Macaca mulatta: one gene and its partners. The protein of the gene in region 2 purifies or fractionates together with the protein of the main gene of each other region. This does not show direct contact. Links are inferred from orthologs where the notes say so. Each region holds a gene or a part of one and is shown on either strand. Other genes may lie near its edges.

Evidence for each region.
Region 1: the proteins of LRIG1 (region 2) and ERBB4 purify together in Homo sapiens (affinity purification with western blotting; 3 studies listed by BioGRID and IntAct, with this or other methods). This does not show direct contact. The link is inferred for Macaca mulatta from reciprocal best matches to the Homo sapiens genes LRIG1 and ERBB4.
Region 3: the proteins of LRIG1 (region 2) and ERBB2 purify together in Homo sapiens (co-immunoprecipitation; 4 studies listed by BioGRID and IntAct, with this or other methods). This does not show direct contact. The link is inferred for Macaca mulatta from reciprocal best matches to the Homo sapiens genes LRIG1 and ERBB2.

What each region holds. Positions count from the first base shown.
Region 1 is NC_133417.1:117,705,181-117,709,313, reverse strand, and holds the start of ERBB4 (receptor tyrosine-protein kinase erbB-4), read left to right. Parts: upstream 1-1,333; 5' UTR 1,334-1,973; coding exon 1,974-2,055; intron 2,056-4,133. UniProt on the Homo sapiens protein: Tyrosine-protein kinase that plays an essential role as cell surface receptor for neuregulins and EGF family members and regulates development of the heart, the central nervous system and the mammary gland, gene transcription, cell proliferation, differentiation, migration and apoptosis.
Region 2 is NC_133407.1:130,049,183-130,053,258, reverse strand, and holds the start of LRIG1 (leucine-rich repeats and immunoglobulin-like domains protein 1), read left to right. Parts: upstream 1-1,258; 5' UTR 1,259-1,861; coding exon 1,862-2,079; intron 2,080-4,076. UniProt on the Homo sapiens protein: Acts as a feedback negative regulator of signaling by receptor tyrosine kinases, through a mechanism that involves enhancement of receptor ubiquitination and accelerated intracellular degradation.
Region 3 is NC_133421.1:64,059,975-64,063,492, forward strand, and holds part of ERBB2 (receptor tyrosine-protein kinase erbB-2), read left to right. Parts: intron 1-608; coding exon 609-760; exon of another isoform or gene 761-823; intron 824-1,941; coding exon 1,942-2,155; intron 2,156-2,839; coding exon of another isoform or gene 2,840-2,914; coding exon 2,915-3,049; intron 3,050-3,406; coding exon 3,407-3,475; intron 3,476-3,518. UniProt on the Homo sapiens protein: Protein tyrosine kinase that is part of several cell surface receptor complexes, but that apparently needs a coreceptor for ligand binding. Essential component of a neuregulin-receptor complex, although neuregulins do not interact with it alone.

The DNA of each region.
Region 1 (4,133 bases), on a different chromosome or scaffold from region 2:
AGGGAAAGCTTCAGGCTTCAGGCATCTGTATTTCCTATCTGTTCTCAGCTCCATGGAAATTCTTAAGGGATGGAGCTATAGATAAGAGAGTGGGAAATGGAGATCCAGGTCTCAAATGAAAGGCAGGGTGGTTTGATTTTTAAGCTCCCCTGATACTTTTTATTTATATATTTGCTGCTTCTAGAAAAACCAAAAAAGGAAAGTGATTCATACATAGAATGCCTGTACAAATAGTAACTAATAACTTACTACCCCCAGGAGATTCTGGTCCTTGCCAGGGTGCGGTTTCAGAGCTGTAAAAGGCAAGGGATATGAACATTGATATGACCCAGTCCCAGAATATTTTAGATTCAGAAAAGGTCAGAGATTTTCATAACTAGCAATGACCTCCGGATTAGGGACCATGAATGTGCAGAGTGAGGACAAGGAAAGGGCCTAAAGCTGGGTCTACTGTAGAAGAAGCAGAATCATTTAAGGTTAATTATGTTCTGATGTGGCCTCCTTAAATACTTTCAGGTTGAGACAATTTCTAGCCCTTTAAGATTAAATCAGTGGCTTTGGACTAGAATCTGCTTAATAAGAATGAACTCCAAAGGTGAAAAAAACATAAAATCTAAAAATCAAAGGGTATGGCTTTATAAATGTGAAATTTTAGTTTGGCTCAATGTCGGTCAGTTTGGAAATGTGGGAATAACCGGAGAGATGGCATAACTGGGGGCGGGAGGCGGGGCGGTGATTATATCCCTACCACCACCTAATCCTCAGGGGCTACTAGTTACTTACTGTGCACACTTTTAAAGTACTTTCTAATTGTGGACCATGAGTGGCAGAGTGCTGCGGGCGGAGGCTTTTTGCTGAAAGCAACGTTGACTTTTCTTTTATTTCTAGGGAAAGTCCTGTCTGTAGATAAGCACCGTGGGACAATGGAGAAAATGCTGACTTGTTTTTTTAAAAAATCTTTTCTGTAAGCGCCCCTCCGATGGTCTGTCCACTCTGCGGGCCAGCTGTCCCAGGCCTCTGCCAGGGAGGGAAGAGGAGTGCTTCAGTGCATGGCTTCGGTGAGCCCTTTAAATCCAGCTTCCCCTGCCCCCACCAAGCTGCTCCCTCTCCCTGACAGGTGTTTTCCCAACTCCGGAGGCCTAGGATTTTGGGGAGTGGCTGAGCCAATGAGATTTCCCTTTGGGGCGGGGGGCGGGGGAGAAGGGCGTGGCTAGTTGGGTCAGAGCATGGGCGGGGTTTGCGCGGCTGAGCAGAGCCTGCCTGGTTGCGTGGAGGGTTGTTTTATTCCCACCGCCCCCCCCACCTTTTTTTTTTCTTTTTTTTTTTTTTTTCTGGAGTCTTATTAATTTCTCTGTGGGCTGCAGCTGGAGACCGCGGAGCGTTGGAAATGACGCTCGGAGCTTTAATTACCGCAGCCGCCGGACAAGTGTGAGGAAAGCTGACAGGAAAAAGAAGGACGGGATCCGGGGAGAAGCGAGAAGCTCCCCCCGCCCCGCTCCCCTCCCCATTTGGACTGGAGGTGCAAGGAAACTGAAGAAGGAGCAGAACACAGCCCGGCTGCGGGGAGAGGCCGGAAACCTACTGCCTCTTTGCAATCAACTTTTTTTGGAAACCTTTCGCCCCCCTTCCTTTTTTATTGTTGACCAACCAGTGAGAGAGAGAGAAAGTGAGGAGGCAGCGAGCAAGCGAAGGCTCACGCGGGGAAATAACTGCACAGTTCGGCCCGGACCGCCACGCGCACACACCGAGCACACTCCAACACACGCACACTCGCCCCCTCTTCGGGCCCCGGCCCTGGACCCGCGGGCGCGGACTAGGTCGCCCGCCCTGGGAGTCGCTACACCGCGCGCGCCGCGCCCGCCCCCCTCGCGCCCCCACGCGCGCCCGGCTGGGGGATCTCCTCCGCGTGCCCGAAAGGGGGATATGCCATTTGGACATGTAATTGTCAGCACGGGATCTGAGACTTCCAAAAAATGAAGCCGGCGACAGGACTTTGGGTCTGGGTGAGCCTTCTCGTGGCGGCGGGGACCGTCCAGCCCAGCGATTCTCAGTCAGGTGGGTTCCTTCTGGCGCTCCGGTCGCCTAACCTGCCGCCGCCGGCGGGGCTGCCTTGAGTGGCTCCCCCGCCCTCTTCACCCATCCCGGGAGGCGTGGAGGGACCGCTCGACCGGGACTTCTTCCCTGGGCTCTCGGTCGCCCCTCTTTCCATTTGAAACTTACCCTGTATGTGTGCCTGTGCTTTATCGTGAAGAAATCACTCTGAGCCCCTCTTTTTTCTCTCCTTAACCCCCTGTTTTTCTTTCCCGAGCGTTTTGTGTGGGAGCCTAAGCGGGATCCCTTCTGGTGGCGCCTGTTGTTCGGGACATGGGAGACCCAAATCCCCAGTCAGAGGAGACTCTCCTGTCCCTGTCTGGTCCCTCGAGGGAGGAACCCTCACCGCCGGGGCCGCGGAGGGCCGGGGTCCTGGGGAGGTGCTGGCTGGGCCTCTCCCGCGCCAAGCCTGAAGGGCGGTGGAGAGTGGCGCTCAGAGACCCGGGCTTTGCACCTGTGTGTGCTGCCGGCGGCCGCTGCGCCCCCAGTCGCCCAAGCCTTGTGGGGTCAGACGCGACTCGTACCCAGCCCGGGCAGCAAGAGTGCAGCGGGCGGGCGCGCCTCGGTCCGGGGTCTGGAGCTCTGGGCCTCTTCGGCCTGCTTCCCGGAGCCCTCGCCCCATTGACTTGAGGGGCGCTTGCTCGCCTGCATGACCTCTTAAAAAAAAAAAAAAAAGGCTTGGCACACTCGAGCCAGAAGCCGGGCCTTCCCGTCGGTTGCCGTGTTTGGCTCCTGGAAGAGTTCTTCCTGTAGTTCAACTTGCTATTGGCCGGAGTCCTTCAAACTTGTCTGTTTACTGCCTGGCCGGGCTGCCGAGCCTGCGGGTCACTGGATCCACCCGAGGCGCAAGCGGCGGCGGCGGGTGCGCGGCCACTGCTTGCTGGAGAGCTCGAGCCCCAGGTACCTGGGCAGGCAAAGGGCTAATTGACCCCGAGAGGCAGCGCGGCGGGGTTGGAGCGCCAAGGCTTGCAGGACTAATGACAGCACCTGCAGTGCAAGGAAGCTCAAAGTTTCTGACACTTGAGTTTCCTGGGGATGAAAGTGGGACGGGAGAGGTCTGAGGAGGACCGGTGTCTGATGCGGCCAAGGGGTGCCTTTTGGAGAGCCAGGGAGATTTCTGAAACCATTCGGGGATGGTGACTGGAGCGTGGGAAGTAGCTTGAGGTGATAAAGCCCCCGGGAGTGGCGATAGGGAGCGCTTTAGGCCCCCGGAGGGTGTCCTTCTGACCTCACCAAGGAAACAGCAAGCTGTAGTTTTCCCGCTCCGCCCCCGCCGCCGCCGCCTCCTTTGCCTAGTAAACAACAAGTTACAATCATCGAGGCTTTCAAAATGACCTTCGAATGGCACATGTGCGGCGTTTTGTGCTGGCTGTTTGCACCCTCCCAATTACTCCGAAATTCTTCACGCATACCAGGTCCCGCGCTCCAGCCACCCCCGGAATCACACCAACACGGACTTGACATTCCAAGCGGCCTCTTAGATACATCTCTTTTTATCTCCCTCCCCACTTCGAGTCCCTTCATATTTTCCCTCAATGGGTTGATTATACACATTGACCCATTCAAAGGCAGTGGCGACCGACATGCAGGCTTAGCCGAGAGGAATTTCTACGAGGCGACCTACTGGGGGCTGGCTGGTTCAGCCTCTGCCGCTGAGGGACCCCGCTCCGAGTCCGCAGCAATTTGGTATTAACTGTGCGGCTCCGGGTTGAGCTATGCCGAAAAGCCCTTTTCAGAATTTCTGCAAGGAATGTAATCCAAATTAGTTCTGCAGCTGTCCTCTTCCTCGTCTCAGGCGACACCAGCTCGCGCCCTCGCTCATCTCTTCTCGTTTCGTTGGGCGAATTGTCAGACCCACAAGTGAGCCCATTTAGAGCGCGAGGATTAGCGTGCCATTGTTCCGTGTGTGACTCTGTACTTGAAATTCTGGGGGCACAAAGGCGAGTCTCACTTGTTCAAAACACAAAGTGATCCAGATGAAAGGGCCGTACAAAGAAAAACTCTCGGGTGCATCCCTGGTATAATTGCAACACGCATACTAA
Region 2 (4,076 bases):
GTAACTATTTTTTCTCCTTTAACCCCGTCCCTTAAGAGTACACTATGGCTTCTTGAAAATCATCTTAAAAAGACTGATTAAAACAAAAACCCAACAACAACAACAACAACAAAGCAACCCCTTAATCAAAGGCTAGAGCTTTTCTAGAAGTACCTTTCAACTCACTAAGGGCTGGGAAGGAGAGTGCACTTTTTTTTTTTTTTTTTTTTGGAGACAGAGTTTCGCTCTGTCACCCAGGCTGAAATTCAGTAACAATTCAGTGACAAGTTTCTGCTCATTGCAGCCTCCGCCTCCGGGGTTCAAGCGGTTCTCCTGTCTCAACATCCCGTAGCTGGGATTACAGGCGTGCACCACCACACCTGGCTAATTTTTGTATTTTTCTTTTTTTAGTACAGACGTAGTTTTACCATGTTGGCCAGGCTGGTCTCGAATTCCTGACCTCAGGTGATCCGCCCTCCTTGGCCTCCCAAACTGCTGTGATTACAGGCGTGAGCCCCCACTCCCAGCCGAGGGTGCACCTTTGAGACTAGGTTTCTGCAGCACACATTCATTTTGGTAATCAAGGACATTATTGCTGGATATAAGACACGAAGAGCAAGTCAGGAGCAGATGTTCCAGGCTGTTCGAGGAGGAAGGTGACCACGCCTCATTAAATAACCAAGGATGTCCCAGTCAGGAACAAGTGTGTTAAGTTTTAAACCTGTGTCTTCGCTCTTGAAAAGCACCTGGAAAATGGACGCGGGTTTGCTTCTAATCTGCAGTCCTGCTTGCAGCCTGAGGAGGACGTAAAAAGCCTCGGGGCCAGACAGCTCCAAAACGGGGGCGTTACCCTCTTAACTTTCTCTCCTCCTCTAGACGCAGAGGGCATATCTTCACGCCTCCTTTCCCCAGCCCACGTCCCTGTTCTCCAACAACAACCTGCATGTCTCCTTTAAGAGGCGGGGGCCGTCCCTCCCTTTCTCCTCCCAGTCTCCCGCCCTTCACACCTTGGGTGGGAAAAGAGTGTGGGGGCGGGGTAGCCGGCAAAGCGGGAGGGGCAGGATCACGAAGAGCGCTCCAATGGCTCTCGAGGCTGGCCACGGTGGACTCCGGCAGCCAATGAGCAGCAGGCGGGGAGGCGTGGCGGGGCGCTGTTGCAAAGCGTCCAACGTGGGCCGGCAGGCGGCCGCGGGGTGCGGAGCCCAGGGGGTGTGTGCGGGAGAGCGGCCGGGGGCGGGGCCTGGGGGACTGGCCGGGGCTGGGCCGCGGGGAGGCAAGCAGCAAGCGGCTGATTGTTCGGCCGCGAGGTCGGCGGGACTCTTGCTGCGCCGAGGAGCCGTGCGGAACCCAAGGCTGCGCGCGCGCTCGCCCTCTGCCCGTGGCGCGCGGACAGCGAGGCGCACGGGGACCTCCTAGCGCGCGCCGTCCAGCCCGGGGTCTACGGCTTTGCGCTCTGAGCCGAGAGGAAGATGCCCGCCGGCAACGAGCTCGGGCTGCGGGGCTGAACGCCTGCCTTCCAGGCGCAGCGGCAGCACTGCCCTCGGCCGGTGTCTGTAGCGGCACTCGGCGTGCGCCGGGCGGACGAGGAGCGCAGCCTGGGTACGCCCTGCCCGAATCGGCAGAGTTCGCAGCGAGCGCGGGCGGGCCGGCCGGCCCGGATGGGCGCGGGGTTTGCGGCCCCCGCCGGGTGCTGCGGAGCGGCCCGGGCACCGGGGGCCCGCTGAGTGCCGGAGCCGCGGCCTCAGAGAGAACTTGGGGCGGGGGCCATGCCCCGGCGCGGAGTCTAGAGCCTAGCGGAGCGCCCCGCGGGCCCGCCCGCGTCTGCGGCCGTTCGGGTCCTCACAGTCCCCGCGCCCGGAGTTCGCAGCGCGCTCCAGACAAGATGGCGCGCCCGGTCCGGGGAGCGCTCGGGGCCCCGCGCCGCTCGCCTTGCCTTCTCCTTCCCTGGCTGCTGCTGCTTCGGCTGGAGCCGGCGACCGCCGCGGCCGGCCCGCGGGCGCCCTGCGCGGCCGCCTGCACTTGCGCTGGGGACTCGGTGGACTGCGGTGGGCGCGGGCTGGCGGCGCTGCCCGGGGACCTGCCCGCCTGGACGCGGAGCCTGTGAGTGCCGCCCTTTCTGCCCTCCTTGCACCCCGGGGCTCTGTCACTCGGGGACGGGGCGGCGGGGGTTCGTACTCAGGGAGGGGGTGTGGACTGGGTTGTATGTATGGAGTTGTGCGTGCTGGAAGACTGTCAGCTTGGGTTGGCGGAGGGGAGACCCTGCGTGGAGGTCCGGGGGAGTAGGCGTGCGAGAGAGCCTGGAGGAGAAGAGCATTCCTGGTGAGGTCTGGAGACGAGCGAGCGTGGGTCGTAGAGGTTTGGGGGTTAGCCAGCACGCGTCGTGCGGGCCGTGTGGGAGTTAGCGAGTGGGAGTCTGGAGCTGAGTGTGTTTGCGTGTGGGTGGGTGGGAAACGTCTGGAGCAGAGTGTGAAGAAGTCTGTGTGGGGGTCTGTGGGTGCGTTTCCTTTTCCTCTCCTGTAATCCAACTCTTTGGTGTCTGAGCTCCTTGGTTTTCCAGTGGGTAATGAATGAAGGTGACTTTTGGCTCCAATCTTTCGGTTACATTATTTATTAGTTGATAGTGTGTGTAGCCGTCTCCTGATCCCCAAAGACCATGGTGGCCTGACTTGCCTCTCTGCGGGGCAGAAGGCAGTCTTTCCCCGAGGACCCCTGAGTTAGAGGGCTTTGACAGTTCCTGGCGACCTGTGAGTGCTGGGAGTTTGTCCTTTTCCGCCTGGTTGGCATACGGAACTGTGTTCCAGACCCTTCCTGTGTGTTCCCTGGGGCCCCATTGGACTTGCTGATCCAGTGGGGTGGGGCCCACCCTCAAGAGTCTCTCCTCCATAAATGGTGCAAATGAGTTTTGGAGTAATGCTGCTTCAGGAGAGGGTGCCGGGGTCTTGGCTGATTTAAGCAATTTGTTTCACCCGAAAGAGGCTCTTTTCTGTGCTGTCAGGATGTGGGCATATTTAGGACTTAGTGGGACACTTCTTACAGGAGATTTGGCAGGAAAAAAAGGCATTAGCCTTCTGTAAACATGGTAGAATAGAATAGCCTTCTTTTACTTCTAAAAAAAATCTGGTCCATGAGTCTAATCCTGTTCAGTTATCGGTAATTAGCATCTCTGTAGAACTATTAGTACCTTTCCAGAAAAGGCCTAGCTTAAATAGTCCGCATTTCGGTTGAATAATTGGACATTTTTCCTAGAACATAGGAAAGGCACAGCAGTAACCTCAGGCATGACTATGGCTGTTTTAAAAAGAGAAAACTGGTGTCACAAGTTGTAACCAGCACCTGTGGCTTGATTGAAGAAAATGTGGCCTGGGTTCTGAAGGGAAGAAAAGTTAATTCCTTTTAAATGCAAAGATTCTGTACCTCTCAAAATGGGGCACGAATCTTTAACTTGGCCCCAGACACTGCTCCATCAACAAGTACTACAGAGTTCTGAAGACGACCAGGACCCTTTAGTTACAGTTAGATTTTCAATATCTACTTCTTCTATGGAATTTACTGAGTTAGTGAAAATCAGTGATCGTAGGGTGGAGGCACAGCTGTGTTAAGTACTGTTAGATAGAGCCCAGTATTGTCCTTAGGTAGTATCTTATTTAGTCTGGGGTATTGTGATTTTTCCCTTATATACGGTAGTTTTTTTTTTAATTGAGTCATGTGGGCAGAATCAGATTAACTTCTTAAGTGTTCACCTGTTGGAAGAGTGACTCCCAATGCCATGTGTCAGTGGCATTGTGGGGAAGGCATTTAGTTCCACAGCAGTAACTTCCCAGAGAGGACAGGGTGTCCTCTTATTTGCACTTTCCTATGGTCACAAGATCCACTTTGCCTTGCCCTTTAATTTTTGGAGCAAACATACTGGTTATTTCTTTAGGCTTTCTGTTGCCCAGGAGTGACATTTCACATGGCATAAATACCTTCAAAATTGAAGTTCTTCTCTTTTACTCACACATTTGATGACTGATAAATACCAAAGTGGGTATTTTGAGCATCAGTAGACTTTAGTATACTGATTATGGTGTTGACTGATTCGATTTTAAGATACGAGC
Region 3 (3,518 bases), on a different chromosome or scaffold from region 2:
CTTCATGGGAGACTCCCAGAGGTCTCTGCAATGACCAGGGCCCCGGTTGCCCCATGCCCCAGCTACAACTCCAGCTGACCCTCCTTCCCCACTCTCTGGGTGGCACTGCGGGGGTGTGGATCCCTTGCCAAGAGGTTGGCACATGGGTGTGCTGGAATGGCATAGGGAGAATGCACCGAGTTTGTTTGCTTGGGAGAGGGGCAGGGGGCATCCAGAAGATTCAGGATTCGTCATCGCCTCTCTTGGGGGATTTTTACCCCTTGGCCCTGAGTTGTGCCTTTGGGACAAAGGAAGCCTTTCTTTGCCAGCCAACACCCTGTACTGGCGGGTGAGCTCCACAGGGCTGGCACGCTGGGGCAGCCTCTGGATGCACAGGGTGGGCCTAGTCAGAAGGAGCCTTTCCCCTGAAATCCCTCTACTTCCCAAGCACACAAGCTTTCTCCTGCTGTTAAACCTGCAGTGTGCAAGGGATGTCGGCGGAGGGGTCCTTCAGTCAGCCTTCTCCCTGTCTGAGATGAAATGACTCTGGGAGTGAGTTTGGGTGGGGAGGCCAGGTCCAAGAAGGTCCCCCGCCCGTGTCCTCTGACCCATCTGCTCCCTCCTGCCAGTGTGCACCGGCACAGACATGAAGCTGCGGCTCCCTGCCAGTCCCGAGACCCACCTGGACATGCTCCGCCACCTCTACCAGGGCTGCCAGGTGGTGCAGGGTAACCTGGAACTCACCTACCTGCCCACCAATGCCAGCCTCTCCTTCCTGCAGGTGAGGCCCGTGGGCAACCCAGCCAGGCCCTGCCTCCAGCTGGGCTGAGCCCTCTGTTTACAGGTGGGTGGCAGAAGAAGGTGCCCTGCCCTTTGTTTCCTCTTTTGTTGTGGTTTCTCAACCAGGAAGTCCTTTCTAACGTCTAACCCCCATTCATTTTACTGCAGAATCAGTTGACTCTCTCTCTAATGTGGCTGGCCGAGGTCATCTCTGGATGGGATGCGTCTGTGTTTCCGCTAAATCTTGTGCTCTCTTGCCAGCATGATCATGTCCCCCGTCCACCTGCCCCAGCCACTATCCTTCTCCCATCTACAGCAGCAGAAAGGGCTGGTGAGAAAGGTGGATTACAGGCCCAGTTCTGCCACTGATGAGCCCTATGAATGTGGCCTACACCCCCTTAGCTTCACGGGGTCTCAGTTTCCCTATCTGTATATTGGGAGCAATTGTGAAGCTCAAAAGAGAAATGTCTATGAAAAGATTATGAGCAGGAGAGAGTGGAAACCAACCTGCTGGGTCGTGTCCACGGACCCTGGAGTGGGGCCATGTGCTTGGTTTGTCAAATTGCAGACGCCGGCTGAGCACGGTGGCTCACGCCTGTAATCCCAGCACTTTGGGAGGCTGAGGTGGACAGATCACCTGAGGTCGGGAGTTCGACACCAGCCTGACCAACATGGAGAAACCCCGTCTCTAATAAAAATATAAAATTAGCTGGGAGTGGTAGCACATGCCTATAATTCCAGCTACTTGGGAAGGCTGAGGCAGGAGAATCGCTTGAACCTGGGAGGCGGAGGTTGCAGTGAGCCGAGATCATGCCATTGTACTCCAGCCTGGGCAACAAGAGCAAAACTCCGTCTCAAAAAAAAAAAAAAAAAAATTGCAGACGCCATCCCATCCAGGCCTTTGCTTTCACTGATGAAGAAACTGAGATGCAGAGAGGGCGGGGTACCTGTTCAGAGTTTACGAAGTGCCCCCCCACCATTATCTTTCTTGATCGTATAAGAATCTGGTGAGGCAAGGTGGGGCGTGATCTTTATCTCCATTTTATCGTTTTATATAAGAGGGAACAGGACTGCTCAGTGGCTGGGGGCCTTGCCCAAGATCTCCAAGTACTGGGGAACCTCAGGGAGGCCCTGGGGGTGGCAGTGTCCCTGTTTCAGCCCCACCCTGCTTCCCCCTTCCAGGATATCCAGGAGGTGCAGGGCTACGTGCTCATCGCTCACAACCAAGTGAGGCAGGTCCCACTGCAGAGGCTGCGGATTGTGCGAGGCACCCAGCTCTTTGAGGACAACTATGCCCTGGCCGTGCTAGACAATGGAGACCCGCTGAACAATACCACCCCTGTCACAGGGGCCTCCCCAGGAGGCCTGCGGGAGCTGCAGCTTCGAAGCCTCACAGGTGGCCTTCGCCGTCATTGAAACCTTCTCTTGGTTATTCAGAGCTGACCAGGGCCACTGCTAACCATGGGGAGGCTTTGTGTGCATTAGAAATGGTGTCCCTTCTGGGCAGACGCAGGCAGAGCCTGGGAAGACACCCTGAGAAGACTGGAAAAAGATTCCCCTTCTTCCTAGGAAGCTGCAGCTTACGTCAGCGCACAGAATTCAATCATGAGAATGCAGGCTGGGTTTTTGCCCCCACTTGGCTGAGTGAAGTGTACAGTGAACAGCCTATGTAACTGTTTGCTGGCCCTGGAGCTGACTCTGCCCCAGAGTCTGGGTGCCAGGTGCTTTGCCCGCATGGCCCATTTCAGTCACACTGCAGTCCTGTCAGGAAAGAATCAGTGTTATTCTCATTTTACGTATGAGAAAACTGAGGCTTGCAGAGATGTGAGTGATGGGGCTGGGTTTCAGACTCCACGGTCTCTTAACCACCAAGCAACACGTCCGGAGTAGAGGTGAGAGGGAAGGAGAAAGCTGCGGTCCACGTGAGCATCTGGACGTAGCATGGACAACTCACTCCTCCCTGGCTCTCGCTTTGTTCATGTTGCGGGGGTGGTGGTGGTGGGGCTCAAAGACGGTGACGATATCTTTCTCTCCTCCCTGGGGAATCTGGGGTTGTATAAAAGGCCTGCTCCTCTTTTAGAAGGCAGGAGGGCCCCAAGGGAAGCAGAAGGTGACAGAAGGGGAAAGGGTCCCCTGATCATTGCTCACCCCACAGAGATCTTGAAAGGAGGGGTCTTGATCCAGCGGAACCCCCAGCTCTGCTACCAGGACACGATTTTGTGGAAGGACATCTTCCATAAGAACAACCAGCTGGCTCTCACACTGATCGACACCAACCGCTCTCGGGCCTGTAAGCCATGCCCCTCCCTGCTGCCTCTTCTCTCAGACAGCCTGACCCCAGCCCCAGACTCCCGACTTACAACCCAGTGCCTGCCCGCCACTGCCCCAGCCGCCTACACCCATTTCCTCCCTCTCTGTCCCTCCTGCCATCTCTCTGTGCCTCTTCATCTCTGGGGTTCTCTGTCCTGTCTTCCTCTGCTTCTAGGCTGTGCCTATGGTTTGGGGGCCTCTCAGCCTGTCTGGGTCCCTCCTTCACTGTGCAGTTGGCCTCGTGGCCTCTGCTGCTGTTTGTGTCTCTCTCCGTTATTAACCCGTCCTCTCACTGTTAGACATCTCTCTCACTGCCTCTCCCTGGTTCTGTCCTCAGGCCACCCCTGTTCTCCAGTGTGTAAGGGCTCCCGCTGCTGGGGAGAGAGTTCTGAGGATTGTCAGAGCCGTGAGTCTCAGGGAGGCCTGGAGTCAGGGAAGGGGAGGGCCAG